Diceros bicornis minor: one gene and its partners. Each later gene encodes a partner of the first gene's protein in a complex. Links are inferred from orthologs where the notes say so. Each region holds a gene or a part of one and is shown in the gene's direction. Other genes may lie near its edges. The genes, in order: MED19, MED31, MED13 and MED7.

Region 1 (8,460 bases):
GGCATTAGGCCTAACCTTGAGAGACTAAGAAGCAGGCTAAACTTACTGGATCTGCGGTTCTTCATCATCACAATGGCACTGAGAAACATCAAGATCTCTACTTCTCTCTGGAACAGAATCAAAGTGACAGGAAAGCCATGAATAGAGATGATTTGGGTGGGCAAGGAAGGCAAATATGGGATAAAAACCAACAGAGATCCAAACTGGGAATGGTAATGTTACTGCACAATGCACATAAAAAAGCCAATAATTACACCACCAGCTTTTGAGAAAAGAAAAGGTTTTACTGCAAGGTCAACCAGCAAGGAGACAGGAGGCAAAGCTCTCAAATTTGTCTTCCTCATTCAGGGTTTGGGGTGAAACACAGGAGGTTAGGGAGAACAGGCTGGTATGTGGAAACACTGGCGGGGCATGTTTCAATCGGAGGGCTTTAAACATTTACGGTAAGGTGTGGAAGGGGCTTTATCATTGGATCTTCCTAGACAACGGACTCCTCGCTTCTGATAAGAGTCCGACTTGCAAGTTCCGGTCATGTCCTAGTCCTTTGGTTCCGTGGTGGGGGAGAATCTTTGGTTCTGGTGTCATTTCAGGTCAAGATTTTCTCCTCTGCACGTGCTCTGGCTACGTGACTTGCAACTTTTTTTTGCACACTGCCTCTGAAAAATAACTCTTAATCACTCCTCTGTTGATAAGAAGGGGTCAGTTCGAACTGGTCCTAGTGGGCCCATGGTTACAGCAACAATAAAGAAATAACTGGAGTCAGCTAAGGTATAATGGGAAAACACCAGTCAGATCTAGGTTCAGGTTCTACCCCACCACAAACTGGCTGGTGCCTTTCAGTAAATCACTTAACCTCTGACTTTGGTTTCCTTGACTGAACAAGATCTTTTTCAAATTGCTCTTGTGAGGATTAAATGAGATAACTGGTATGAAAGAATTGTATAAAGTATATGGTGTAAAACTGTAAGATATTACAACCAACTCAGTGTGATCCTGGAAAAATAAAACTTTTCCAGGGAATTTTCTCAGTAATATTCCATTAATACAATATACGGTTATTCAATTTGTTTGGTTTTGCTTAACTTAAGTCATTCCTTTCCACCTAATAATCCTCGTGATAATCCATGCACCTTTAATTTAATTAGAGAACTGAAGGAGGGCTTTCAGAGCTCTCAAAGGCCCTTCTCAGTACCCTTGGCTTATAGTTCTTTCTCACCTTCTAGAATGTAAGCTCCATTATGAGCAAGTGAGACAGACAATAAACATGACAAAGAAACAAACAAGACAATTTCAGAGTAAAGACCACAATGAAGAATAGCAAAAACCATGTGAGAAAAAACATGGGAGGAGGAGCAACTATAGATTTGATGGTCCAAAGCCTCCATACCTTTTGTTTGTAATACAGGGACCCAAATCATTACTGCAGACAGAACCGGTCAACAGCAATTTACAGGAAGGAGTCAGGGACCTAGGTTTTTAGCCTCAATCTCCAACAAAAAGTAACTGACTAGATTTAGAAATGGACATGTAAAGTGGGGGTTAAGGAAGATGACAGACCTTACTAAATATTATACCTCAGCAAAAATGAAGAAGAGTTTCCATGAATGAAATTGGTTTAGAATTGGGATTTACAATTGTGGAAAGATGAATTTTAAAAGGGAGCTGTGGTCAATCAGAAGACCAAAGATAAGACTAAAAGGAATATTCTCTAAAGATAGAGAATGGGTCTATGGCAAAGACTGGCTATGTATACTCCAAACCTTATTTCCTTTGCCTCTTGGGCATATTGCAACTAGACTCTCAGTCTCCTTGCATCTAGGCAGAACTGTATGACTAGTACTCCTGGACAGAATGTGAGTGGAAGTGATGTGCCACTGCGCCTAGGCAGTTAAGAAAGGGTGTATCCTTGCATTCCAGCTTTCTTTCAGCATCCGCTGGCTGGATGATGCTAGGAAGGCCATAGGTTGAAGACAGAATGAGACTGGGTTCCAGAATAACTGTGTGAAGCAGAGGTCCCTTGGTTGTTCTGCTTGTTCATTCATTGTTTTGAAACTTTTTGTTATAGAAAATTTCAAACACATACAAAAGGATAGAGAGGATACTGAAGAGTAACAGAATATGCCACCCCAAAATATGTCACTTTGGCATAAGGATTATTTTGAGCCTGAAGGCAATTGAGAAGTAGATAAAAGAAAAGCTGCCTACTCTCCCCATTTGTCTAAAAGCAGGACATAAATTTTCAAAGGTATCCCTCCAACCCTCTCTACCAGGAAGGACAAAAGTTAATCAAGGGAGGTAACTTTAGACCCTATCAGCCTGGAGACAGCGCCAGAGCAATCTACCTAGCAAACTAGCCTTTACCTACCATTAGTTTACTTTCCCACAGTCTGTCGCCCTTGGAAGCCTAAAACTGCTTTCCTTTGTCCAGCCATTTCTTGACAAATTTATCATTCTTTGCTGAAGACGCTGTATAAGTGGAGTTCTAAGCCACCCCTTTGAGTTACTCCTTTTCCCCTGGTATCTCCCATGTATACATGAGACATACATGTTAATAAACTTCTATTTGTCTTTTAATTATCTAGTCTGTCTTTTATTACAGGGGTTTCAGCCAAGCCCTCAGAAGGGTAGAGGGAAAATTAATTTTCCTCCTCACAATACTTTAATGAACCCCTATTACTCAGCTTCAACAGTAACATTTTGCCAAAATGGTTCTATTTCATCTATGCTACCCACTTTTTTTGCTGGGGAAACTTAAAGCAAATTCCAGCGATATCATTTCACCTATAAATACTTCAGTGTGTATCTCTTACAGATAAGGACTTTTTTTAACAAACCAAAATCCCATTATCATACCTTACACAATTAACAATAATTCCTTACTGTCATCTAATATTTGGTCATTATTCAAATGATCCCAATTATCTCAAGTTGTCTTTCTACAGTTGTTTGTTCAAATCAGGAACAAGCAAGCAAGATCCACGTACTGCATTTGGCTGATGTGTGTCCTTGTTCTTCCTTAATCTCTAATATATCTGCCCTTCCTTTTTACCCCCCAGCCATTTATCTGTTGAAGGCATTGAGTCACTTGCACCGTCAACATTCTTGCTTTTAAGATTTGGCTGCCTTCATACTCATGGTATGTTTTTTTCTAATGATGATCCTCCATCTCCCATATTTCTTGTAAAGTGCTAATGAAATCTAGAGGTCTGAATACAATAAAATCCAAATTTTTTGCCAAAAATGTATCATAGGTGGTGCTAAGTACTCCCCACTGCATCACTTCAGAGGACACATTAACCTTTCATCTGATGGTTTTAGCATCCACCGATGATCATTGCCTCGATTTATTATTTCATTGGGGCTACTAAATAATTTTTAAATTCTATCATTCCTTCTGTATTAACCCAAATTCTTATATTAAGAAATCAACATTCTCTTATCAATTATTTGATTACTCTGAAACACAGTATATCTAAGAAACGTGAAATGCTTCTTTCCTTTTATTTAATAAAATAGAAATAAACTTTTGTTCTGTTAAGCCATTGAAATTTTGAATTTTACCTGTTATTGCTAACATTATTTACCTTAACATCCTAACTTCCCAATCACCAAGGTAAATCAGTAAAACACGTATTTTCCGGGAAAACAAACACTGGCCATAAACCCGAAGTAGTTAAAAAAAAAAAATTCTATCAGAGTAATAATAAAATATAAAACCTTCCAATATTTTGCATATTATTAGACGAGTATACAAAGAAATTAATTGTATAAAAGGTTCTACATTTATTAAAATCTTTATTACTATCCACTTATATTTTTGAGTTCCATTTTGGTTAAAGTGGTATAGAATATCAGACAAAGATAGGATCTTTTGAAAGAGCATGGCAACATTTGAGCTAATTGATAATACTGTCTGGGAAAGGACAGACAAAGCATTAAAAAGTAAACAAGAGACGGAGGATAAAAGTAAAGGAGTAGGTTCTAGTAAAGGTCAAGACTCATTTGAGGAGGCTGGAAAACAAGATGAAAACTCAGGATGACCTTCCTTCCTCAGAACACAGATGCTGCTATACACCAGAGGGCACAGAGCTTCCATTCATTTTTCTGAGTGGTCCCTCCATTCTTAGTCAGGAAGTACAGCAAGAGGCTTGAGATAGATTTCTTTACAAGATATTTTTTACAATTCCTTTTCAATAGGCTTAACAATTTTATTCATTTTTGCATTCTCAGGATGCAGCACAGTGCCTAGCATACTGCGCGCACTCTGGAAATGTTAACTGAATTAAGAAATGGCTGTGAGTGTGCAGGTACTATGGCCAGAAGAGTGGTTTCAAACCCCAGGCACTCACTCGTTGTGTGACCTTGGGCAAGTCGCCAAACCACGCTGAGATCAATTTCTTCATCAATAAAAAGTAAATACCATTTGCCTTGTTTACCTCACTGGCTCTCAATAGGCTCTCCATATGAGCAGCACTGTGAAACACTGTACATGGGTCTTGTTAGGTAGGGCTATTGACAACTATGAATGGTAAGATGGAAAGAACCCTGGACTCCAGAGTCAGAAGACCCAGGCTGTCTTCTGTGCAGACTAACCCGCTGTTTTCCCATCTTAATTAAACATGCAGAGGTCTAGAGCGATGACGGTCCGACCCTACACGCTAATGGTCTGGAAGTCCGCTACAGCCTCGGAACCTCAGGTGTTCTCAAAAAGGGGAACCTCAAGGCCCCCGGATGCAACCGCGGGGGCAGGGAAGTCAAGGTCGCGGGGTCCTCAGGCGGGGGTCGCTCACCCAGTCAAAGTCACACGGGTTGCCGTCTTCGCGTTGCGTGGGGAGACTGTGGCAGAGCGGGGGCAGCTTCCTCACGAGTAGAAAGGCCACCGAGAGCAGGGCTGACAGAAGGTAGTAAGGTCGGGCCAGCCATCGTGAAAGTCGCGGCACCGAATACACCAGAGCAATTAAAGGCGCCAGGACCGCCATCTTTTCGGCCGTTGCGGAGCCCGCAGCTCCTCGGCGTCGGTTGGTCAGGTAACCGTCTCTCCCCACATTGGGCCTGGTCTCGGATGCACCGCCTCTGGACCCGGAATTAGATCTAATTGGACTTTACGGTGGGTAAGAACTGAGAGAGGGATCTGATACTTTATTGGTCAATCTAGCTGTCGCTTTTCTCCCGCCCCAAGACATTTTATTGGACATGTGACTACGGCAAGCGAAGATATCAGAAAGAATTTAATATGGTTAGACAGCGCTTCCTGAACGTTCTCAAACAGCGACGGAAGTAGTTGCCGGAAGAAAGTGGGCGGGGCCCGAGGCAATCCAATGATAAGCGGCTCCTGGAGGAAGGGGGCGGTACCCCGTAAAAGGATTGTCCAATGAGAATCACCAACGCCAGACACCCGAACACCGCCGGCGCGGAGGGGAAGATGGAGAATTTCACGGCGCTGTTCGGGGCTCAGGCTGACCCACCACCGCCCCCAACCGCACTCGGCTTCGGACCGGGAAAGCCTCCACCCCCGCCTCCCCCTCCTCCGGGCGGGGGACCCGGCACGGCCCCGCCCCCCACCGCAGCCACGGCCCCTCCCGGCGCCGACAAGTCAGCGGCGGGTTGCGGTCCCTTCTACCTAATGCGGGAATTGCCAGGTGAGTACTAGGCCTGGCCGAAACCAGCCAATCAGATCATAGCGATGAAGTGAGGGGCGTGGCTCTCAGCCCGCCGGCGGAGGTGAGGCGTAACCTAGGCAACGCGTTCTGGGACTTTGGAGCTCTTAAGTCCGAAGGGTTCTGAGGATTCACAAGCAAAGGAATGGCATGAATTCTTGGGATGGATTGGGGATGGGAAAAGAATGCATCCCCGTGATCATCTTTCACGCCCTGTCCGGCCCCTGTCCCTGACACTGGTTTATGGCTCCCTAGAAGCTATCCAGGGTTCGAGTTTGGAACTCGAGAGTCCTGATTTAACATCCCTGCGGACGTAAGGTTTTAGTTCCAAGTCTGCCACAAACTTGCTATCGGTTTGGGGCAAGCTGCCCTCCTCAGGGCCTCAGCGTTTCCTCAGCTGTTTGAAGAAGTGATTCGAATTGAACAACATTCTTTCATTCAAAAAATTATTTTGTTGAGCACCTACTGTGTACCGAGCACTGTTCTAAATGCTGAAGATACAGCTGCGAACAAGACTCACAAGATCGTTGCCTTTTTTGGAGTTTATATGTCAGCGAAGGAGGCAAAAAGTAAAAAAGATAATATCAGACAGTGGTTATTGCTACAAGGAGAAAACGTGATAAAAAAATTGAGGGGGCAGAACTACTTTAGCTAGAATGATTAGAGAAGTCCTCTCTGAGTACATTACATTTGAGCTAAAATGTAAACACAGAGAAAGAGTCAGGCATTTATGAGTGGGAGGGAGGGATAATTCTAGATACAAGAAATGAGATCAGAAGCCCTGATGTGAGAAGAACCTTGGAATATCTGAGGGACCAAAGAGCAGTTGGTCTCCAGTGAATTGAACATAAGAAAGAGTGATAGGAGATGAAGGTGGGAGGAATAGGCAGAGGCCTTGTAAGGCATTTAGATTTTAAGTTCAGGGGGAAGCCATTTTAACACAGGAGAGTGACATGATCTAACTTATTTTTTATTTTATTTTATTTTTTTGGTGAGGAAGATTGGCCCTGAGCTAACATGTGTTGCCGACCTTCCTCTCTCTGCTTAAGGAAGATTGTCACTGAGCTAACATCTGTGCCAGTCCTCCTCTGTTGTATATGTGGGACACTGCCACAGCATGACTTGATGAGCAGCGTGTAGGTCCGTGTCTGGGATCCGAACCTGCGAACCCTGGGCTGCCAAAGCAGAGGGCATGACCTTAACCACTACACCACAGGGCCAGCCCCATAACTTATTTATTTTTAATCATTCAAGCAGCTACATTAAGAAAGCAAAGTGAGAAAATCAGTCGAGAGTTACTGCTTAGTAGTCAGGCAAAGAGATAATGGCTTGGACTAGGCAATAGCAGTGGAGGAGAGAAGTAAGTGGATGCAGGATAAATGTTAGAGGTAGAGCAGGAATGAAGGACTACATATAGAAATGAAGGAGAGAGGAATTGAGAATGATTTGGAAATTTTTGGCTTGAATGATTGGGTGGATGGTAGTGCTAAGACCAGGAAAGAACAAGGATGGAAGGTGGAAACAAGATTTCCACCTTTGAGGAGGTGGAAATCAAGAGTCATCTTATACATGTTAAGTCTTCAAGATGCCTTTCACTTCATCCCATGACCTACTGCCACATCAAGAGTTGAGGGAAATAATAATGAATGTTGGTACAGTACTTTGAAGTTGACAATGCAGTTATATATGTCATAGTATTTAATACTTAGAACAGCCCCTCGAGATAGGCATTGTTATTGCATTTTGTAGTTGAAAAAACTGAAGCACAGAGAGGTTGACTTTTCTTTGGTTAGTGGTTGATGTCTACCAGCAGTTTCTTTAACCTTACCTGTTCTGATTGTACCTTTTTATATCAATCACTTGACAGATATTGAATATCTGTTTTGAGCAAAGGCTGGATGTGTAGGAAAGGGGACATGTGATGAGAAGGGGAGAGAGATTAATAAGCCCGGTCCTTGCTTTTAAGGAGCTTATTTTACTTAGGGATGCAAAGTTGTGGTCTAAGGATAAAGTAGTGACTGTTTCTTGTCAAGGCCAGTCTCATTACTTTGTGGTCATGACTCACATACAACTATTAAGAACTACATCATGGTCTTCAAAATGTGTCCCTTGTTATCCAAGTTAACAGCAGGAATAAGTTGTCACTTGAGCTAGACCTTGAAGAATTCATATTAGTGAAGAAAATTAGGAGGAAGTTTCCTATAATTAGGTCAATTTTCCTAAAAGAAATTTCCTAAAAGGAAACAGTATGAGGGGTGTTTTTTTCAGGAGATGGTGGAGACCCATTTGGATGGATCAGCAGTTTTGCACAGGGCAGTAGTGGTTGATCAGGCCCCAAAGCTAAGTTACGGTAAGATGTATTTTACCGCAAATGCCAAAGGAATTTGAGCTTTTTCCTGGGGGTAATAGGAAACCATTGAGATTTCTGAACTGAGGAGTACTGCTTCTAAAGATATCTGCAGGGGCTGGGCCGGTGCCATGGTGATTAGGTTTGCGCACTCCGCTTCGGTGGCCTGGTGGTTCGTGAGCTCGGATCCCGAGCACGGACATATGCACTGCTTGTCAAGCCATGCTGTGGTGGTGTCCCACATACAAAATAAAGGAAGATTGGCACAGATGTTAGCTCAGGGCCAATCTTCCTCACCAAATTAATTAATTAATTAATTAAAATAAATAAAAATATCTGGAGAATGTGGGTGCCACGTATTGAAATAGAGAAACCATGAGTGAGGTAAGGAAGATTTGGAGTGTAAAAAAGAGAAATTGAGGGGCCGACCCAGTGGCGTAGCAGTTGAGTGCACGC
Region 2 (8,347 bases), on another chromosome or scaffold:
TGGGAGGCAGTGAATAATGGTTGCAAGAACCTCTCTCCTGGTCAAATTACTTTTGGCTTCTATGGACTTCAGTTTTTCCATTTGTACCATGAAGATCAACTGTTTTGAAAAAAAAAGTTTTCAAACAGTGAACTCTTTCTCTAGCCTAATAGCATGTGGAACCCATAAAACAGGAGGAACCCCCCAGAGGCTAGGTCAAGTACCCAGGGCTTGGTACTTGTACTAGCCATACTGGGATAGGAGCAACAGCAAGAATGGAGTAGGTATCTGGATCCCTGGGAGATCTAGATGAGGACTTGAGCCACATACCTCGCTGGCTGGGCTCTTGGTTCTTCCCATGGCTCATGTGATCTGGGGAAAGAGTATTCTATTAATGGCATTCTTCTATTTCAAGTATTTTCAACACAACTGACAGCAAATACATATGCTGAATTTTGTAAGCTGCTCTCAGTTTATATATAAATGAATGGAGTGTGAGGAGAATGACAGGTGCTGACTTGTACTTATTTAGTTTTTCAAACTAACCTGGTTGGCAACAACTGAAGGCAAGTCACAGCTATTAACTAGCTCAATAAATCTACGGGATTAGTAGATGGAGCCGTTAAAGGTTTTCTTGGCTGGGAATGGACGGTCAGCATTGCTCTTAGCGCCTTATTGTACACATACTGGGCCCAGCATTACATACCATGTCACAGACACAAAAGCACCCGTGCTCCTTTGGAGCTTCCAAGAGCGGACAATGTGGGGAGGATGATGACACGCAGCATGGGTAGCACACACTTATAATATGCAGCAGGTACACTAAAAATTATGACAGATATAAGTTTCTTTAACATACAGGATCATTTTAAAGTTGTGGAAACTGATGTAGAAAACAGTATATACAACAAATATCTTGTCACATCCCTTTCCTTCAAGTCTTGTCATTTTTGACACTTTCTTGCTCTGTGTACACCTCTTTGGCTTTCAGCTTTGCAACATGGATAAGGAAATTGGGAGGAAGAAACCTAGGTAAAACTCTTATCAAACAAGTATAACAAAAGGAAAGAAGCCACCAGAATCCTGTATCCTTCCAAGAGACTCAATCATCTAGAAACCAAGTCTTTGGCTTTTTCACAGTAATCTTCCCACCAGTCTTCTAGGTACTACTAACAAGGGGGATAGAAGCAGTTAATGCAGAAAGGTCTGGAAGGATACATACCAGGTTGCTGACATTAACTATTTCCAGAGGATGGAAATGGCAATGATGACAAATTATTAAATTTTTCTTTACACAGCCTTGAATTATTTCATTTGTTACTTAAGCACATATCACTTTTGTAATAAAAACATTAACACGGAACATTGTTGAAGAAAAGTGACTACTTTGTTCATTTAAAAAACACTGATTAAGAGTGTTCATATATAATGCACATGGTCTGCCATGTTAAAAAAAATTAGTAAGCTCACCAAAGACTGAAATTCCAAAGTCTAATTATTAGTCTATAGCAGAAGTTGTATGAGGCAGAAGCATGAGGGCAGACTCGGGGGCTTTACAACATTCCCCTGGCCTGAGCCCCTATTCTACTGGGCAGCCCAGCGCACTCCCCTGTAATTAAATGAAGTAAGTGGGTAACGACTCAGCACAGCGCCTGGCAATAGCAAGTACTCTGCCTCACCATGAGGTCCCTCAGAATCAAGGTCATTCACATTCTGCTAAACGGGACCTCCTTTCGTCCTCCGACAAATATCACATAAACTATTGAAAGCACGAATGTAGGGTCTCCTCAAAAAGCAACACATCCCTCTCCTCTGAGAGCTCCTGCCCTGACATCTGACAGAGGACACTGCTTCTAACCCTCTCCCCTAGCAAACCCTGCTACGAAGTGGGGTGCTTCCCCCAAAGGACCACTCTAACTTTCTAAGTTGCTAGAAACTTCAGGGTTTTTCAGCCTTGGTACTATTGACATTTGGGCCAAATGACTGGGCCAAATGACATTGGGCCAAATGATTCTTTGTTGTCAGAGGTGGGGGTGTGGGGATGACCTGTGCATTTTAAGATGTTTAATGGCATCCCTGGCCTCTACCCATTAGATACCAGTAGTATCCAACCCCCACAGTTGTGACAAAAACATCACCAGACATTGCCAAGTGTTACCTGTGGGGCAAAACTGCCCCCAGTTGAGAACCACTATTACAGATCAATTCAGTGGTTCTTCAGTCATCCCATGAGAACCCAGGACTAGGACTACACATTAATATCCATGCATGCCTCCCTAAAAAAACTCCCCAAAAAACATGAACTTTTAAACCTTTAAGACCTTCTTCCCAGGAGCAAAGTAATGTTGCCTGTGAAAGGCACATTTTCTAAAGCATTTGTCTGACATTTTAGTTCAAACTTTCTCCCTTATTGGTGGCTGCCAAAGGACTATAGGCAAGGCAAAATTAGGTAGGTCAATCCAGGCCCTGTGGGGTGAAACAGAAGGATGAGGGGTTCAGCCAGCTGGTGCTCCCTGAAGAACAAGATCTCAAATTCATTCATAAAATGAGCAAGACAGACCGGCAGATGACTGTCACTCAGTCCCATGGCTTTAAATACCATCTATGTACTGACGACCCCACATTTTACATTTTCAATCCTCACCTCTCTCATGGTAGCCAACCTCTTGCATTCAACCACCACTCAGTGTCTCCACTTGGGTATTTTATAGGCATCCCAAACTCAACATGGCCAAACTGAACTGATTTTCCCTCCTAAACCTGATCTTTCCCTGGTATTTCTCATCCCAGTAAATGGCACTACCATACACCAAACTGCTCAAGTCAAGTCACCCTTGATTCTTCTATTCCTCTTCCCTTCACCTTCGTATCCACCAGTCATGTCAGCCCTGCCTCCAAAACACACCCCTAATCTGCCCTCTCTTCTCTAGCTCCACTTCTTCCACCCTAGTGTGAACCACTTTCCTCTTACTGGACCATGGCATTAGCTTCCTAAGTAGTTCCCATTTCCTCTCTTGTCCGTCCCCTACATCAGGGTTTCTCAACCTCACACTATTGACATTTTGGACTAAGTCTGTTAGTATGTTAGTCCAAACTTAGGCCCCTTTGTTTGGAGGAGGGGAGCTGTCTTGTACACTGTAGAATGTTTAGCATCATCCCTGGTCTCTACACACTAGATGCACCACCCCTGCACAAATTGTGACAACCAAAATGTCTCTAGATATTGCTAAATGTCCCCTAGGGGACAAAATCACCCCCAGTCAAGAACTATCCTATATCCTACACTCAGAAGCCAGGATATTTTAAAAATGTAAATTGCATCATGTTACTCCCCTGCTGAAAACCCTCCAATGTCTTCCCATTGACCTTAGAATAAAATCTACTGTAGCTTACAAGACCCCTATGAATTGGCCCCTGCCTACTTCTCTAACATCTTCCCTTCCATACCATCCTCTCCCTGACTAAGCTCCAGCCACACGGGTCTTTCTGTTCGTTGAACATTCCAAGCTTGCTCCCATCCCCCCTTGGCACTTGCTGTTCCCTCTGCCTAGAATGCAGTCTCCCCAGATCTTTGCATGGCTCACTTTTCATCCATACAAATCTGAGGTCAAATGTTGCCTAATCACCAAGGCCCTCCCTGACCATCTTATCTAAAGAACCCCCTTACCTCCGTTCTCTATCACACTACCCGTTTATTTCCTTCATAGTGCTAATCACAATAGCAAACGGTCTTTTTCTGTCATTTGCTGTCTGCCTCTTCATCAAAGCATAAGCTCTTTGAGGGCCAGGACCCTGTCTCCTGCCTGGTTCACTGCTATAGCCCAAGTGCTAGAATAACACCTGGCACGGAGTGGGTTCTCAATAAATACTCCTTCCCTCCACCTTCTTAAACCTCAGGTCAGGTTTCCCTTCTAAGATTATGCTTGATTGTTGATGTTGTTGTTTACCTTCAATTTTCATTTTTAACTAAATTTGGCCTATGTTAAAAAGTGTGTGGGTGGGGGTACCATATACAAGGGCTTAGCAAAGGAAAATAACCGATTATTGTGAAACATAAACAAAGGCCAATGAATTAATGAATGAATGAAAGTCTGTTCCTTGCCTCTCAGATTTTTAGCAGGCATATAATCATTCCACTGGTCATGATTTCAGTTTGCCCTCTGTCCCTAAGTCTGAAGCAGTGAAGGTCGTCATTCAGGGACTATGAATCCAAAACTCACCTGGCTCAGAGGTTGAAACAGCCTCTTTGTCCATCAACCCACTTTAATACAGTATCATGGGCCTGAAAACTTTTTGTGCTGGCTTCAAGTTAAAATAGTTCACTGGGTGAAAGGCAGTGCGGTCCAAGGTGCAGCATGGTCAATAAGTGCTAGCTGAGTCCCGAAACCGCAGCTTGGCTCTTTCTGACACTGATTCATGGGCTGTTTCTATGACACCAAAGATGACTGGTCCACTTGGCAGCCGGCTGGCTGCACACTGGAGGCAATTCTGTCCTGGCTACGGGCCACGGCCCTTTCGTGGCCTCTGGGAAGTGTTTCATGGGGCCATTTTTACATTCTGGCGGGCAGCCGGCCTGTCCCGCCGGGGCGGGCTCTCCACGCGGTGCAGAGACGTCTCCAACCGCAGGGACGAGGCCCTGACGTGGCGGGAGGACGTTTCCGTGCGCTGCGAGGAGGTCTCCACGTGCTGGGAGGACACCTCGAGGAGGCGCGGGAGCCACTTCCCAGGGGAGGCGGAGGAGGGGGAGGGCCGCTCGCTGTGGCGCAGGGAGGTCTCCACCTGCCGGGAAGACGTCCGCACCTGCCGCGAGGAGGTCTCCACGCGGTGGGACGAGCTCTCCACGCGGACCGTCGATGTCTCCTGGTAGCGGGCGGTCTCCACCCGGGGCGAAGAGGGCTTTCCCCGACCGGGTGCGGCCATTCCGCGAGTGTAACGGGCCCAAGGAGGCCTGAGGCCCCGCAGCCCAGCGGTCCTCAACAGTCACGCCTCTGGGTTACGTCACAGGGTAAGGAATGACATCACAATGACGTGTTACGCCACCGCAGGCACAGGGGTGGACGAGAGGGTCACGACACGAGAACGTGGAGGCACGTGGGCCTGTGGGGCCTGGACTATCCCTTCAAAATCCTGGGCCGGGCCCCTGCGGCACTCCTTCGGCCCCCGCACAGGCCCCTCGCCTTTTTGGAGCCTGCGCGGGCGGGGCCGGGGCGGGCCTGGATGGGCGGAGCCTCCCGCCCCGGCGCGAGACTGTCCCCGCTCCCACATCCCACAGTGCTCCGCGACAGGAAGGGGAGCCGCGGCTTCCGGAACCTGCCGCGCCGCTACGCGGGGTTGCTGTGTCCGGCTGGTGGCGAGTTACCGTGTTAGCTTGTGATGGCCGCGGCTGTCGCTATGGAGACAGGTAAGCGGCGCTGGGAGTCGCGGGTCTTCGCAAATAGGACTGTCGCGGGCCCAGACCCCTCTTCTCGCTTCCCCGGCGGCTCCTTCCAGGCCTGACTCCCGGCAGGGATGGAGTTCGGACCGGGAGGGGGAAGCTGAGAGGTAGTTTGGCCTTTTCTGAGTTGGTTTGTTCGGAGATCCTTTTTCCCCACCTGTTGTTCAAACACCGACCACACTGACTTCCCGGCGTGGGCGAGACTAAGGGAGAGGACTTCGGTCTTAAACCGTTCCTCGATTTGTTTCTGCCTCTCAAATGAGCTTGCAGAAGTTTGAAATATCGTCGACAAAGTTGTGTGTTATTCTGCCACTGACGCTTCTCACATGCGACACACTCCTTGGTCTTGCGTACTCTCCTTTTCAGCTTGCTTTCTAAATGTTTTCCTGATTGATTTAGCATTCACCTAGCTTTGCTTAACTTAATTACTTAACAAGTTGTTGTAATGCATTACTGAAATGGGGGAAGGCACAGTTATTACAACCTACCCCAGTGGTCACTGTTAAAAATCCCTACATAGTGGCTCACAGGTGATAAATATTCTGCCCCGTGTGAGTTCCTATTTTCTTTGATGACGTCTCTTTAACTTGAGAGAAACTTCTCACTTACTCCTTTTAATCAGGGCTTTGCTTTTCTTAGACTTCTAAGGAAGGTTTATCTTCTCCCACACTCAGTGTAGGAAAACCATCACATGCCCTTCTCTATGCAGAAATGAATCTCAGCATTAGTCGTGTTTTTCTTTACTGCTGTTTTCTTTCTACAAATCAATATTATATAGAGTGATCTTTATTTTGGATAATTTTTGCTATCTTTTCTCCTAGATGATGCTGGAAATCGACTTCGGTTTCAGTTGGAGTTGGAATTTGTGCAGTGTTTAGCCAACCCAAATTACCTTAATTGTAAGTTGTTGAGCACCTCTTTGAATTAAGTAGCTATTAATGATTTCTGACAGAAGAGTTGCAATTCATGATAGTAACTACTTTTATACGTTCTCAATTGAACAGAATTAATGCTACACTTGTACTGGTATATATATAATTGAGCAAACTGTGACTTGTGTTTTGAATTCAGTATCTGTTGGTGGTGGGAATGTTATGTAAGTAAATTCTTTATGTTAGGAGTTACAAATCAGTAGTTCAAGGATTGGTTTGCTCTACAGATGTGTTTTTTTTCTTATGCCTTTCAGTTCTTGCCCAAAGAGGTTACTTCAAAGACAAAGCTTTTGTTAATTACCTTAAGTACTTGCTTTACTGGAAAGAACCAGAATATGCCAAGTATCTAAAGTAAGTTTAATTTTATAGTCCTAAATATGTGTATACTTTATTATACTCCAAAACACTGTATTCAACAGACTTCTTAGTTTCACATTGGAAAAAATATATTTTAAATCTCTCCACTTCTTTTAGTTGCCACCACCTTAATACAAGACACATTCATCTCTAACTTGGATTATTGCAGTAATCTACTCATGGGTTATCCCTGCTTCCACTCTTACCCCCCTGCCCCTGCCAAGCCAAACAAAGCAAAATAATTTTCAGAAGCCAACTTAATCTCTTAAAAAAATGTAAATCGCAACATGTCAGTTTCTTGCTTGGCACCTTTCAGTAGCTTCCCATTGCATGTAGAATCAAATACAGTCTCTTTTCTTGAGCTAAAGCCCTGTATATTCTGGCCCTGAACTGTCTGACCTTACCTTGTACCCCATCTCACTGGATTTCTGATCCCAAGGAACCCACAATCTATAAATGCAATGACATAGCCATAGGCTGAAAATTAAAGAACATAGAAAGGGGTACTTCTAAGGAAGGTTTCCGGAGGAGGTAACCTTACCTGAGTCTTAATAGCTGCTGTCTTTTTATAGGACCGCCTATGTGCCAAGCACTGTGCTTATTTAAAAAAAAATATATATATGTATATTTAGCACTTGGGTTGTGCAACAGATGTCATTTTAAGGCTTACTAAATTGAAAGAAGCATATTATAATCACAAACCTATTCCTTTTTAATGGTAAAAAATAAACTTTGAACTCATATTTCTGCTTTGTCTTAACCAGGTAGTTAAAAAGCAATAGTGAAACTTTTTGTCTTTTTTTCCCTAAACAAACAGTAAGTTGGAGAGGAAGATGTTTCAAGTTTGTACTTTATCCAAGTCACTTTTCTAATCTGTGTCTAAGAAAACAACTGATTAACGGAGCCCACATCCTCTTGCTGCCTGCAGGACCCTTTGCACCCTTACTGGCCCTTTATAAACAACCACTTATTCATTTAATAATCCAGAGAAGAGACTTTTTTATTAGATTGCAACATGTTATATGTATGTAGTTTTAGGGGGAAGAGGGAGAATCTCCCTCTGCCCTTTTCCTTAAGGTTCTTATGGCTGGCCAAATAATTAACAAGACAGGTTAGCAGGAGAAAATAATACCAAGTTTAATAACATGTATACATGGGAGAAAGCAGGGACACTGCGTTTCTCAACACAATAGCAGAAATTCTCGTTTTAAATACCATGTTCAGCCAATGACAAAGGAGGATTTTGGGGGTTGGGGGAGTCAGTTACAGGAGATTACCACTAAAGCACAGTAAACAAGAGTAAGGTTATTATGCAGCTTTAAGGCCTCAACTTCCACATTGATAAGCCTCTAGAAATGAGGCCATCCCCCTCTCTTCTCAAAACAGAGAGGGAGATACCTTTACAAATGGAGATTTCCCTTATAAATGTAAATGATTGTCTGGCAACTCCTCGCAGGGTCATCCAGAGAATGTGGCCAGAGAGACAGAACTTCTGATAAGAGGGGCTTGTTGGTGCCTTTCCTATTGTAACCTCCATCCTACATTATCTTTACAGCCATCATGATAGATCTGTTCCAGGAAGGAGCCACCATGTCAAATTCTTTAGGCAGTTAGTGGGGGAGGTCAAATGTCCTCAGAGAAAACA
Region 3 (7,446 bases), on another chromosome or scaffold:
CTCAAGACCACTTACTCCACAGCTTAATTTGTCCTTAGCTTTCAGCTTTAGATTCTAGACTTGTATTATCCGACACAGTAGCTACTAGCCACATGTAGCTTTTGGGCACTTGAAATATGACTAGTCCAAATTGAAACGTGCTATATGTGAAAATACACACAGATTTTAAAGGTTTGGTAAAAAAAAAAAAGCAAACTATCTCAATAATTTTTTATATTGACTACATGTGAAATAATATTTCTGTTACATTGGGATAAATATAATATATAATTAAAAATATTTTCACCTATTTCTTTTTATCTTTTTTAATGTGGCTACTGAAAAAAATTTAGTTATTTCTACTAGACAGTGCTGTTCTAGATCCTGGGATTTTTCAGAATCAGGTGGGGAGCCTTAGTTCTAAGGTTAGACATCGCCCTTTCCTGGACTTGCTCTGTCTCAAGTGATGTAACTCTGTCACCCTTTCTGGATGCCAGGTGCCTCCACTATCCCTTTCAGAATGGCGCCCTTAAAAGGCTGAAGGAGTTAAAGAAACAGTTTTAAATGTAGATCATTGAGCGAATCCACATTTCAAAATGTTGAAGACAATAGGTGATTATTGACCCAAGGCAACATCTAAGATTCACTTTAACATTCCTGATTGGCTCTCTTATTTACTTGGATCATCTCTTAATTGTCACAACAACTCTAACATTTAGGTGCTATTATTACATACACATTTTACAAATGAGTAAATGGAAGTTAGGGAGCTAGCAGGCGTGGTGTGGAGTTTTGACCCCAGCTGGTCCAACTGTCCAAGTGCCATATCTAGCAAGACAAGGAGCTCCTCATATATCCTGTGCTTTGTGCATATATGACGTGACACATACTAGATGGTCAGTAAGCATGTGTAGTAAAATGTATATGTAGTATGACTTCAACCATGTAGAAAAATATATATATATATGGAAAAGTCTGGAAGAAAATACATTAAAATGTTAAAACATGGTTAATTATGAGTGGTAATGTTATGGGCATTTTTTGATTATGTATTTTATTTTTCATCTTTATACTTTTCCATATCTTCCAAACTTTTGACAATGTGCATATACAGTTTTTTATTTATTTCCATTACTCTTTAAATCACACAAAATGTCATTTTAAGAGAATGTAGTTGGTTACTGACATGTTCTGTGTGTGCTGATATTGCTCTTTGTTTTTCTCCCCATGATGTTTCCATTCCCCTCACAGTTGGTGTCCCTCTTCTCCACTTGCACTTCTCCATTCTCTCTCTCAATCTCTCTTCTGCTTTTTCGTCTCTCTCTCTCTCTCTCCCCCCCTCCCTCTCCCTCTGTCTCCCTCTGTCCTGCTCCTTTCCGTGATCCTTTCTCAGACTTTTTCCTCTGGGTCTTCCTCCCTTCTTGTCTCCTATCTCTCCCTTCTTTTTGAGAAGATTGACATTCAAATGAAAGGTCAATCAAATGTTACTCTGCTCTTCGTGGTTTTCTGGCAGATTCTATCTGTCTCTGGAGTCCTGAGACAGGTGCTCAAGTTGGGGGCAGGGTAATGGACGGCAAGACTTCTAAAGAGGATGGCTACATTTTGGATAAAATAAGAGGTGGTAGATAGAGTACATATCAGAGTGACAAAAGTAGTGGGCACAAAGGTCTGAGGATTCTTTCAGGGAAAGAGAGATGAGCAGAGGGGCTCTTACCTTATTGGGTCTGGGGATTGCTGTCTCCTGGTGCTGGCACTCAGTTAGAAAGGATGTGGACCTTAGTTGATTTGAGCTCCTGAATTGAATTAGTCCTGGTTGTATAATTGACTTTGATATGTGGCCTTTGGATCTGAATTAGGTTTAATAAGATTTAACTGCTTCAAAGGGCTTTATAAGAATTCATTTTATCCTTCAAATCTGATTTCAAGTGCTACCTACTTTAAGACACATTCTCTGACTTTGGTGCTCCTTGTCCTGCACTTCCATTGTGCCATAGTTGATACATACCTTATTCAAGCAATTACTTCCATTGTATTTTATCTTATTCTGTGGGAAATAGTTCCTTTATTGCCTCTCTTCAGGAACCTTGAAGGACAGGCCGGTGTCTTATCCGTATTTGTATCCCAGGCCTAGCACAGACCAGGAACACACTTAGTTGAGCACGCAGGTGCTCAATAACGATTTTTAAAAGTTTATTAATAGCTAACATTTAGTAAGCACTATGGCAAGCCCTATACCTACACTGTTTCATTTTCCAGGCACTATATGAGAAAAGTACTTTTATTACCCCCGTTTTACAATGAGAAAACTGAGAGTAAGAGAAATTAATTTGATCTAAAATCAAATTGGATCCAAGATCAACCAGTAAGTGGCAGAACTTTTTTTACAGGCTTTTGGCTTCAAGATCTCGGATGGATGAGGAATGCTTTTCATTCCACGGCTGAAGAAGTGACATGGAAGAGTCCACCATTTATTTTACAGAGGCAATTATGATTTAAAATTATGGTAAGTCCTAACTCATTATTTCTAACTTTTGAATCACTTTTAGTTTTTCTTTTCTTCCTTCCTTCTTTCCTTCCTTCCTTCTTTCCTTCCGTCCTCCCTTCCTTCCTTTTCCCTTCCTCCCTCCCTCCCTCCCTTCCCTTCTCTCTGTCTTTTTCCTTCTCTCCTTTCTAAAACTCCCAGGGAAAATGTTTGAACTCCTGCATTGAAGTGTAATCCAGTCAAGAACTGAGTGTTTTATGGAGCAGGGAACTAACATTTTATGTATTTGGTTCCTACTTCTTACCACTCATTCATTTGCAAATTTACAAATATCAAGCGCCTACTGTGTGCTAGGAACCTTTTTTAGGCACTAGAGATACAGAGGTAAACGAAGCAAAGTCCCGGTTCCAACGGAGATTACACTCCAGTGAGCACTTTACATGCACTGGTTCACTTACTCTTCACGATAACCACGTGAGGTAAATGATGACACAGTAATAGATAACTCTTAACAATGCTTATCTGTGGCAGGCACTGGGCTATGTGCTTTATTTGTATTAACTCAATTATCACAACAACACTATGAGGAGGGGGTATGTTTTCCCCATTTTATAGATGAGGAAACTGAGACTCAAAGAGGTAAGTGACTAGCTCAAGTTTTGAACTCAGGTAGTGTGGCTCTAACTCCCAGGCTATTGACCACAAGGTTATATTGTTTCCTTTATGTTTCTTTCTTAATATCACAACTTTTAAGTGGCTGAGTCCTATCTCAGATCGTCCCAGGCCCAGGGGTTTGCGCTGTACCTCAGCGGCCTCGTGGAATAAATGAGAATGCCGTGGAATTTTTGCAACATTTTCTCTTCCAAAGAATTCAAGCTGATTTCCACGTAATTCTCCGATTTGTGATGTGAACCCTCTTGTACTGTAAATTCCCCGGCAAGGAGAAAGTTAGGGCCAAGGCCCCGATCGTCTTACACTGGCCGGAGCACCCAGCAGATGGCGCTATCTTAGCAGCCACCAGCGGGCTGCCCCGTCCCCGAGGCTCACCGCCTCTGCCGAAAGCTTCCCGGCCCTCCCTCACTCCCTTCTCTCTTCCCCTCCCCACGGAGCCCGGGCCCACGTGACCTCAAGGCGGCCAATGGGCGAGCAGAGAGGGCGAGCTGGTCCCTGTGGCCGCCATTAAAGCGAAGGGAAAACCCGTGAATTCGGATTAAAGGGGTAAAAACACCGCCCGCTGGGCCCACAAAATGGGGGAGACTACGGCGTCCGGGCGGTGAGGCCGCAGGAGCGCAGACGTTAGGCCAGCTTGGCCCAGGGACAACACGAAGACAGCCCGAGAATGGTCTGAGCCCGCAGACGCCGCCACCACCTCCGCCACTGAGGAGACTCTGGGCTTAAGGACATCGCCGCTGCCGCGCCGGGGGCCTGGGCTTCTCTCCGGCTTCTCGCCCTTCCCGCCCCTCTGCGGGCGCCTCCCGCCCCAGGAGAACCCTCCAGAGCTTGGGTTCTGCCCTTTCGGACTTGATTTTAATTATTTATTGTGTAATTTATTATTTTACTTGTGGAAGGGGCACACGTCCCCTCTGTCCCCCAGAGAGGGACGAGCGTCCGCGGGCTCCGCGGCGGCCGCAGTCCGGCCCACGGGGCGAGCGCGGCGTGGCCCTCCCGCCTCCGGCCCTCGGCCCCGGGCGGCTGGGTGCCGGGCGGCGGGGGCTGCTTGCGGCGGCGGGGGGGTGGGTGGGGAGGGCGGGCGGCCCGGCGGCCTCCTCTTCCACCGCCCCCCCAACCACCACCCCCCCGCCCTCCCCGGTGTCTGTGTTTCTCTCTCTGGTCGGAGGCGGCGGTAATGGCGGATGGTGGGTTGTGGCGCCGGCGGCGGCTGCTGTGAGGGACGATGAGTTCCTCCTTCGTGCCGAACGGGGCCAGCCTGGAAGATTGTCACTGTAACCTCTTCTGCCTGGTGAGTGCCGGGGCCGTGGGGGAGGGGGCTGCGAGGTGCGCCCTGGGGCCGTGGGGGAGGGGGCCGGGTCGGATCCAGATCCCGAGTCCCCGGGCTAGGCCCGGCCCGAGCCGGCGCCGCGGGAGCTCCGCACCGGCCCCGGGAGGCGCGTTCGCTCGCCCTCTGCCCTGGGCTCTGTTTTAGCGGTGTTGGCTTTTTTTCTTGTCTTGTTTCTGACTCTTTTTTTTCTCACCATAGTCTTGTCTTCAACTTGGGCTTCTTATCTGGCAGGACGCTAACATTTCCTTCTGTTTCGTGCTTAACTGTTGCTTTTCTCCTTGTTGACTTTGTATCCCTTCTTCACACTTTCTATTATTACCCGTTCTCCCACTGCCTTTCTGCCCCACTTTGGTAATTTGGGTTCCCCCAATAAACAGGACCCCGGAACTTATGCACTAAAACCTCTTTTCGTTTTACTTTTTTTTTTTTTATATGAATCAAACAGAGGGTTGGTTTCTTTCTTGGATGACTTCAGACCTCTGTGTAAAAACCAGTAGATGCCATTTCATATGTTTTCTCTTTAAACTTTGAAAACAGTTTGCCATTTTGACAATTTCTGGCCATCTTGCTTTTATTAGAACATTATGTTTGTGTGAGAGTGGAGCGGACTAATGGAGGAGGTGCTATGGTTTTGCACTAGATATTGCTATATTTGTCTGTTTTGCTTGCGTTTTTAGAATGTTTTGAGCAGGACGCTCCTCCTTTTATTGAAAAGTCTGGGGAAGCTGGCTATGGAGATGACAGTTGTGTAGGTTGGCCCAGGTCTGGGAAGATCCAGTTGTTAAGACTTTCAGAAGTACCAACTGTTGCAAATACTTAGTCCTCAGTTGGACAGTAGCTTAGCTTCATCAATGATTTAAAGTTCGGTGACTTTCTTTTTTCATTTTCTCTGTGCTATGAGAAATACTGACAAGAGTGTGTGATAGGTAAGTGAATTGAGTGGGCGGAGCACAACTAGTTGGCAAGTGTAAACTGCCAGTCATGTATCAGCAGTTTCATTTTTGGCACCTTATGCTTTGCACCTTGTTTAAGTTAGATTAAAGAATTAGTGAATTCCCTCTGTCTAATTTCTTTCATGATGCTAAGTTGAGATCTTTAATTCCCTTTTTCCCTATAAGATGTTTTCTGTACGATGTCCATTAATCAACATCTCTTCAGATGTAATAAGACATACAGCGGGTTTTACATTTCTGTGTTCTCCGACTCAAGTCTATTTTTGGCACTTTTGGGATCAGGTTCTTTGAAGATAGACTAGCACAAATCTGACAGTTCTTTGTGAACACCTATTTGACGTTTCCTAAAAGTGATATGTGGAGAGTTAACAAGAATTTTTTCCGTTATAGTTCAGATTTCTTTTCATTAGAGCCATGACTTCTATAGACATGGAATCATATCTTTAAAAATTAGTTTTGTGTTACAAATTTGACACCAAGGATTAAGTGTGACCAATTAGAACAGAATTTAGGACAGAGAGGAAATGTCTTCTGTGTGTGCAGTATTCAAGTACACGTTTATATTTAAATTTTTAAGTTTTTTTTATTTCTCCTTGGGACACATTTATTGACTTGCTATTCAGTGACACGTCAGTGTTAATTTTTTAACTGTTTTGTTTTCCTAAAATTTTTGGTTGTTAAATTATCAGAATTAATAAGCATTTTTTAAATTAGTCAATCTGTTTTCAATATCTTAAGCACATATTGAAAAATTGTAATGTCTTAATGAAATAAGGAATTTTAAGAGTGAGTAGTGTTGACTTTTTTGAGTGAATGTGCAATAATAAAAAAATCATGCTTTCTTTCCTTCAGGCTGACTTGACAGGAATTAAATGGAAAAGATATGTATGGCAAGGCCCAACTTCTGCCCCTATTCTGTTTGCGGTGACTGAGGAAGACCCCATTTTGAGCAGTTTTAGTCGCTGCCTTAAGGCAGATGTACTTGGTGTTTGGCGGCGAGATCAAAGACCTGGAAGAAGAGAATTGTGGATATTTTGGTGGGGTGAAGACCCCAATTTTGCTGACCTTATTCACCATGACTTATCAGGTGAAAGCAACTTATTTCTAATTAATGATATAGCAATGTTGTATACGTTACCCAAAAATCATTTGTATTACAAATTAAGATGTTTTTGGAGGAACACTCGTAGGTATGAAGCCAGATAAAAAGTCAGCTTCATGTTTTGTTTCGCTGTGGTTATTTATTTTACTTAAATTATCCATATTATGGCAGACTTTTTAAGCCTTGAATAACTTTATTCTTCCACCACCCACCTTCCTCATGAATTTCTTGCAGTTAGGGCCCAAGGAAGGCATGTTACATTAACCTAAGGAAAATGAAATCGGGGAGCATCAAGTTCCTAACGCAGTCGTATAATACTTTTGAAGCCAAGTGTAATTCACCTTTGAGTCATTTCTGCCACTGCTCTCTTCTGTACAAGTATGCAGACAATTGTAGGAGTATCTAGAAATGTATTGTAATTTTCTCATGTGTTTTTTCAAGGCATGTAGTTATTTTTGTTAGTTATTTGTGGTTGTTATTTTATTAACATATGAAGGCATATGTTAATTTTGTTATTCTTGGAAAGTGATTCTTTTATTTTAGATGCTGTTCTATCAAAGACTATCATTAACATGAGATGACTGCCAACTTGTTTAGCTTTTATAGGACACGGGGGTCGTAATCTAAAAAGTTACACAGAAGTAATTTTATTATGAGCAGATGACTAAGATTACTTCCATCTTATTTTCTTGACTTTTAGGAACCAAATGTTACTTTGGAAAGAGAAACTATAGCTCTTCATGTAATTACTGAAGTTTGTGTTTACTTTAGGCTGTAGGAGTCAACGTTAACTGAATCTTTAATGATAGGAATGTAAATGATTGGTTATTTGCTGCAAGGTACCAAAGTTTAGCAAGATGTTTGATAATGATTCTTGACAGGTAAATTTAGGATTTTTAGATAACTAAAAAAATGTTCTTATACATTATTT
Region 4 (7,361 bases), on another chromosome or scaffold:
TCTTATATAGTTAAACATATAACTATTAGAACGCCCAGAAATTCCATTTCTACGTAGTTACTCAAAAGAAATGAAAACATATGTCCATACAAAGACATATATGAATATTTATAGGACTGAAAATAACCCAAATGTCCATCAACTGGTGAATGAATAAATGAATTACGGTACATCTGTATAATGGCATACTCCTCACCTATAAAAAAGGAACAAACTATTGATACATGCAACAACACTGATGGACCTCAGAAGTTTTATGCTAAGTGAAAGAAGCCAGAGACAAAAGTCTATATACTGCATTATTCCATTTATATGACATTCTGGAAAAGGCAAAACCATATGAACAGAAATCAGATCAGTGGTTACTGGGGCTGGGGGCGACGGACAGTGATTGAGTACAAGAGGGGAACAAAAGAAATTGCTTGGGGTTATGGAAATATTCTATATCCTAATTCTGGTGGTAGTGGTTATATGACAGTATATATTCATCAAAACTCATCGAACTCTACACCTAAAGTTAATTTTACTGGATGTAAATTACACCTCAATAAACCTAACCTTAAAAAACCAACAGAGTGGAGAAAATGTGTGAGTATTTCTGCTTGCCACTTAGGATCAAACGATAAATAATGATGATGTTTATAATGTGCCAAGCTCCTAAAACAGGCAAGATGCCAGTTACCATACACCCCTGCCAGTTTCTGCTCCTCACCTCCACCCACTCTCCCTTTGCTCATTCGTTAGAGAGCACACAGACTCCCTTCCTGTCTCAGGCTCTTTGCACTTGCCGTCTCCCAGATGTCTGCACAGTTGACTTCTTCTCATCACTTATGTTTTAGCTCCAAAGTCACCTTCTGGGAGAGGCTACCCTGATCATCTTCTATAAAGTAGCTACCCCCCAACTCACATAGCTACCACATTATTTTGTATTATTTTTTCCCCTATAGCCCTTATCATTATCTGAAATTCTTATTTGTTGGCACGTTGTTGTCTGTGTCTCTCCATTAGAAGGCAAAGCTTCTGTCTGTCTTTTTTACCTTCTAGAACAGTGCTTGCCACAGTAGATGCACAATAAAGATTTGTTGAATGGCTGTATTCCTTGTTAAGCTACAGAAAGCATCTTTAAGGAATAAACTTTCCATTCAGATTCTGGAAAATGCCACCTAAACAAATGTTTATTGTATGCCATATTCTCACTAGCCCCTCTCATGATATACATTTCATATCATTATTCATGTGTAGTTTACTGTAAAGAACACTAGACTGAGAGTCAAATGTTCTAATTCTAGCCTTGATCCTGCCACTAACGGTAAGACCCCGCACCTTTGGGTCAAGTAATTCCATTTCTAGAAATTTACCTCAAGGAAAAAAATTGGACACATGCACAAACATATGCACTAGGATGCTCATCCAGAGTATTAACAATAGCAAAAATTGGGAAGAAGATAATTTTACACAATGGGGCTTTGGCTAAATAGATTGTGGTCTATCCATCAATGTCATACTGTGAATTCATTTGAAAATGATGATTATATTCATTTTGTTACTTATTCAATAACTATTCCTTGAGTACTTGCCAATTTCAGGCACTGTTCTAGGTGCTGAGAATGCAGCAGCAAATGAAACAAAGGCCCCACACTCACAAACCTTGTATTTTGATGAGGAAGAAAGACAATAAAAATAAATAAATAAATCTACTACATAATATGATATCAGATGATGATAAGTTCAATGAAAGAAGGATAATGCATAGTAAGGGGACTGGGGGCATCCCCCAAGAGAATGGTTGGGGGCATGCTATTTTATAGTGACCAGGGAAGACTTCTCTGAGAAAGTCACATTTGACCAGAGACCTGAATAAAGTGAGGAAGTGAGGCATATGAATATCTGTGGAAAGAGAGTTCCAGGCAAATGCAGTGGCTCTGAGGTAGGAGTATGGTTGGAAAGCCTACAGCTGGAGAAGAGTGAGCACGGGAAAAAATCATAGGAAATGTTATTGGAGAAGTAGCCAAGGACTCGATTTTGTAGGGCCTTATATACGCCATGGTGAGACATTAGATTTTATCGTAAATGTGACAGAAAACCTTGGAGAATTTTGAATAAAGGAGTGGTCAGATCTGTCTTATATTTTAAGAGTGTGATAAACAGGCGAAGTGAGGACAGAAGAGAAGCAAAGAAACCAGCTAGGAGGCTATTTCAGAGGTCCAGGGGAGATAATGGTGGCATGGACTAGGACCATAGCAGCAGAGATGGTGAAAATTAGTCATATTTGGGACTTTTACTTATTTCTAAATAGAACTGATACAAAAGGCTGGGATAGTATATTTGAAGGAGCATGGAAGAAAGAATGGTAAAAGATGAATCTTTAGACTTGAGCCTTTGCAATTGAGTGAAGTGCACTTGCATGAGTAAAGATGTACAATACTGTTGGATAAAGGGTCTGAGTGCAAAGCAGAGGGTGTTGCCAGGGCCTGGAATCACCTGGATATTATCACCTGGATGATATCCCACTAATAAGTGAGAACTGCGTCGTGGGGCAATTCAAATAATCAAATGTGCCAAAAGCTGCTGAGCATGCAGTAAAAAGTGGACTAAGAATGACCTCTGGAGGTCACAGCTGTAGGTCACAGTGGTCTCAGCGGCGAGGAGAAAAGCCTGATTGGAGTATGCTCAAAAGTAAATAGATTTCTCCAACAAATAAATTGATGTAGGGGGAAAATTGAGATGAGTGAAGGAACCTATAGATTAAAAGGTAATTAAAAGACACATCAGTCAGTCACAAATGAGTGTACTTCATTTGGATCCTGAGACAATTGGTATCCAAATACTGACTTGATTTTGATGGTATTAAATTGTTGGCACCACTCACGTAAACAGTAATCTTTACTATACATATTAAAGATTTTGGTCTTATTATCTTCAAATTAAACCAGGGTATAAGGTGTTGCTCCAGTCTCTGATGCATATCCAGTAAAACAAAAGATTTCCAGGAACTAAGACCGAATCCCTCCAACCATGCGGAGACCAACCGCCTATAAACTGGCCTGTAGTCTTGGTTCTGTTGGTTCTTTTTAGTCAGCTATCTTCCCCCTCGCTAGCAAGCTATAATAAAACTCTTTCTCTCCTACCACCTTTCCTCTCTACTACTGTCATGCCTTGCGTTGAGCAGACGACCCCCCTTGGGCAGTAACATAATTATTAATTTATTTTTAAATGAGACAATAGTTCTGTGGTTATGTGAAAAAAAGAAAGTCCTTATCTTTTAGAGATGCATGCTGAAATGAAATAATGTCTATACGTAGATAATTGTTCAAGTTGGGTGATGAGTACACTGTTCTCTCTACTTTTGTAAATATTTGGAACTCTCCATAATAAGTTTTTAAAAAACTAAGTCAAAGAATTTTATTTTAAAGAGGTTAGGTTGAGAACTTTTATCAAAATAACAACCTTATTTTCTGTGTGCAACATGCTCTTGTAAGATTCCCACGAATTTAGAAATTTGTGACACTTATGAAAGTAACGTCCAAAGGAAACCTTTAAGTTTGATTTTGTTTTTAAATTTGTTAATTTATTGCCTGGAAATATAATAGACATGGCTGAATTCCTAAGTGAAAATAAAAGTGAATGGACGGTGAGGAAATGGAAATTGAGACTATTACTGATCTCCAATCATGTTCACAAATATTTCCAGACTGAAAAAATATATAAACAGCATATAGAGTCCATCTCATTTCTTTAAATGTTATTTTTGACAGTGGGGTTAGAGTCGATATAATTTTTTAAAATATCCGCTTACCTGTATTTTCTAACTTTTATGTAAGGCATATGGCTGCCTTGTTTCATTTCAAGCGTTAAAAAAAGAAAGAACGGAGATATCACCTGCTCCTTTTACTGATAGAAACCCTCCCCAGCTGCAAACCCAACCACCGACCCCACCGCAGAATTGCTGGGGTGGGCCGTAGGAAAGAGATACGCGCAGGCGCAATAGCGAGCCATGGGTCTGAGGCGGGACTAGAGCTTCGGTTAAAGGAAAGCTCTTTCAGCCAATCAAGGGGCAGTGTCGGTGGCTTCTTCCTGGAGGAGGAGACCGGAAGTCGGATCTCGGCTGCGGTGGCGAAAGCGGCTGCTAGACTATACCCAGCACTGAGGTGAGTGGGCGGCGACGGGTTGGGGCTCTGTTTTGCGTGCGTTTCTTCTTCCGGACCCCGCGGCTTCCTCAGGGCGGGCTGGGAGTGGGGGGAGTGCTCGCTTTCTTTCTTCTCTTTGTCTGTCGGAGAGCGCGGCTTTCCCGCCGCTCGAGGAGCCCCGGGTGGACAGCCTGGCGGAAGGTGCCTTCAGGGCGGCGGGCTCCGGCTTCCTCCCTGTGGGGAGGCCGGGCCAGACTGGAGGGTGGGAGACCTGGGTTCTAGTCCTGCGCCGCTGGTTTGCTAGGCTGTGTGGCCTTGGCGAGTCATTCGGCCTCTCCGGCGTTTGTAAAATGAGAATAACCCTCCTTGCCCTTCTTCTCCAGGGAGCGATCGTGAAATCCGCTGAATTAATGGGGGGCGGGAGAGGAGGTAGATCTCAAGCCTAACGTCAGATTCATCTGCAGAGGTTTAAAAACTACATTCCAGAGGCCTCATTCACAGTAGACAAAATGAATCAAATGTCTGGGGATGGGACCCCAGGATACCTTTCTTTTTTGGTTAAACCCCCCAGAATGGAACAAACACTAGAAGGTGGATCTTGAGTCTGATAACCGGCTTTGATGGTTTTACTGAACACCTCCATCGCCTTTGAAAAATTCAATCAAAACAAGTGATAGAAAAATAAACATAATTTCTGTAGTATGTCAGGTTCCTTTTGTGCAGTTAAGAGGCTTCATAGTCTGCTGGTTTAAGGGAGCTTGTACTGTGCAGCTCAAAGGACCAAGGATAAAAATTCCCGCTGTGCCACTTACTGGCGTTTTGATCCCTGGTGCAAGCACTTCCCCTCATTGAGACTTGGCATCCTCATCTTTAAAATGAAATTGATGATACCACTTAACTCATAGACTTGTTATGAAGAGTAAGTAAGAGAGGATATAAAACAATGGTACCTGTCACGTAGTTGACCTTTGGAAAATGGCAACTTAATTAGAGGAATGCACGTGGTGCTGGGAAGCACAAAACGACTCCCAACCTAAAAAGGCTTGAGTGGGGTGAAACCTGGGCTGTCTAAAATTTGTTTTGAAGTACCAGGTCAATGCTAATTCTCTGATTTTGGTAATTATGTGCTTATAAGAGAACATTGTTTTGGGGATACGCACTGAAGTATTTGAGGGTAAAGAGATGAGAGACCAGTAAGGCAAATGAGGGGAAAATGTTAATATTTGGAGAATCTGGGTGAAGAATATGGAAGTTTCTTTGTACTGTTGATACAACTTTTCTGTAAGTCTGAATTTATGTTAAAAAGTTTTAAAAAGTTGATTATGACTGTTTGCAACTATCATAAGTGTGTTGTAAGTAAATGAAACAGTACACAGTGTTTATAACCTCCCACCCCACCCCATGTACTTGCACCCCTTTTACCTTAATGGCTGTGTTGTATTATGTAGATGTATTTTGTCCAGCCCTCATATTGATGAAATCATGAGTTATTTCTAACGTTTCCTGCTCTTTTTTCAAACAGGGCTGCATTAAACATCCTTATACACATTTTTGTGTACTTGTACCAATGTTTCTATAGGATAAATTTTTCGGGATAGAATTATTGGTTCAAAGAATATCAGCATTTAAAATTTTGATACTGCCAAATTAAATTCCAAATATATATTTGTTTCCTTTCCTCTCAGTTGTATATGAGACTTCCTCAGATTCTCTTAGGTGGTACTGATCTACCACCTAAGAGTATTGTGTGGTGGTGGTGATGGTGGCTTCTGTGAGAGCTGAAGGGAATGGATGCTCTCCACCAGAGGCGACTTCCCTGCAGGGCCAGAATAGCTAAGAGCCTGCTTCTGAGATTGAGATGACCACTCTGAAGAAACTGAGAGGAAGGAGAATGTGACCTCTGCGGGAATCTGGGGCTTGCCACATGGAAGGTGTTCTAGTATTTGTTGAATGATGGAATATTTGAAGTCTTGATAGTCTGATAAATGAAAAGTATTCTTTTTTTTTTTTTTTTTTTGTGAGGAAGATCAGCCCTGAGCTAACATCCATGCCAATCCTCCTCTTTTTGCTGAGGAAGACTGGTCCTGGGGTAACATCTCTGCCAATCTTCCTCCACTTTATATGGGATGCTGCCACAGCATGGGTTGACAAGCAGTGCCTCGGTGCATGTCCAGGATTGGAACCCAGGCCACCAGCAGTGGAGCACGTGCACTTAACCGCTACGCCACGGGGCCGGCCCAAAAGTATTCTTTTTAAAATTTGCTTTTAAAAGTGTATTAGTCTGGGGGCCGGCCCGGTGGCGTAGTGGTTAAGTTCACACACTCCTCTTCTGCAGCCCAGGGTTCACAGATTTGGATCCCGGGTGCGGACCTATGCACTGCTTATCAAGCTATGGTGTGGCGGCATCCTACATATAAAGTAGAGGAAGATGGGCATGGATGTTAGCCCAGGGCCAATCTTCCTCAGCAAAAAGAGGAGGTGGCAACAGATGTTAGTTAGCTCAGGATTAATCTTCCTCACCAATAAAGAAAAAGGTATTAGTCTGAATATTTTCTAGCTTTTATTCAGCATTTGTATTTTCCTCGTCATCTTTTGTCTATTTTTTTAATGTAGATTTTTTTTTAAAAAAACTCATTCAGTGGACCTTTATTGAGGATCTAGCACCTTCTAGGCATTGTTTGAGGTGCTGGATTAGAGTTGGGAACAAGATAGGCACTTCCTGGAGTCATAGTCCTTTTCTTCTAGTGGAGGTGGAGTCAGGCAATGCATTTTTAAAAAATCAAAATAAAATTTTTAGTATTTGCCCTTTGTTAGCTTGCAAGCATTTTTCTCCCAGGAAAATGGATTATCTTTTAATTCTGCTTATGATATTTTCCTGTATGGAACTTTTAAATTTATTTTTGGTAGTTAGATCTGTTGGTCTTTTGTAGTAGCCTTGTAGTTAGTTATTTCTTGTCTGTTTTCCTTGATAGATTGTAAGCAGTACTAGGATGGAGGCACTGTTTCTTGTTTGTCTTTGAAAGATAGTATAGTGTTTGAGATCTTTAGGTTCTGGATCCTTCCTCTACTACTTTGTGACTTTACGTAAGCAGCTCAACCCTTCTGAGCCACAGTTGTCTTATCTCTAAAATGGAAAGAGTACCTTTCTTTTCTCAGATGTCTCACAACCATGAAAAAAGTATTTAGAACAGTCTGGCACATAGTATGGACTTAAATATCATCTATCATCCTGAT

What was found.
Region 2: MED19 (region 1) and MED31 share a complex: the UniProt entries of both Homo sapiens proteins name them as parts of the mediator complex. The link is inferred for Diceros bicornis minor from reciprocal best matches to the Homo sapiens genes MED19 and MED31.
Region 3: MED19 (region 1) and MED13 share a complex: the UniProt entries of both Homo sapiens proteins name them as parts of the mediator complex. The link is inferred for Diceros bicornis minor from reciprocal best matches to the Homo sapiens genes MED19 and MED13.
Region 4: MED19 (region 1) and MED7 share a complex: the UniProt entries of both Homo sapiens proteins name them as parts of the mediator complex. The link is inferred for Diceros bicornis minor from reciprocal best matches to the Homo sapiens genes MED19 and MED7.

The regions. Positions count from the first base shown.
Region 1 is NC_080770.1:16,251,330-16,259,789, forward strand, and holds the start of MED19 (mediator of RNA polymerase II transcription subunit 19), read left to right. Parts: upstream 1-5,288; 5' UTR 5,289-5,371; coding exon 5,372-5,639; intron 5,640-8,460. Other genes in the region: TMX2 (thioredoxin-related transmembrane protein 2), read right to left, coding at 47-107, 4,791-4,979. UniProt on the Homo sapiens protein: Component of the Mediator complex, a coactivator involved in the regulated transcription of nearly all RNA polymerase II-dependent genes.
Region 2 is NC_080757.1:13,085,151-13,093,497, reverse strand, and holds the start of MED31 (mediator of RNA polymerase II transcription subunit 31), read left to right. Parts: upstream 1-5,272; 5' UTR 5,273-5,352; coding exon 5,353-5,380; intron 5,381-6,234; coding exon 6,235-6,312; intron 6,313-6,599; coding exon 6,600-6,696; intron 6,697-8,347. Other genes in the region: C18H17orf100 (uncharacterized protein C17orf100 homolog), read right to left, coding at 4,516-4,899. UniProt on the Homo sapiens protein: Component of the Mediator complex, a coactivator involved in the regulated transcription of nearly all RNA polymerase II-dependent genes.
Region 3 is NC_080757.1:27,788,808-27,796,253, reverse strand, and holds the start of MED13 (mediator of RNA polymerase II transcription subunit 13), read left to right. Parts: upstream 1-4,196; 5' UTR 4,197-4,355; coding exon 4,356-4,421; intron 4,422-6,265; coding exon 6,266-6,500; intron 6,501-7,446. UniProt on the Homo sapiens protein: Component of the Mediator complex, a coactivator involved in the regulated transcription of nearly all RNA polymerase II-dependent genes.
Region 4 is NC_080740.1:73,135,151-73,142,511, reverse strand, and holds the start of MED7 (mediator of RNA polymerase II transcription subunit 7), read left to right. Parts: upstream 1-4,067; 5' UTR 4,068-4,148; intron 4,149-4,211; exon of another isoform or gene 4,212-4,328; intron 4,329-7,361. UniProt on the Homo sapiens protein: Component of the Mediator complex, a coactivator involved in the regulated transcription of nearly all RNA polymerase II-dependent genes.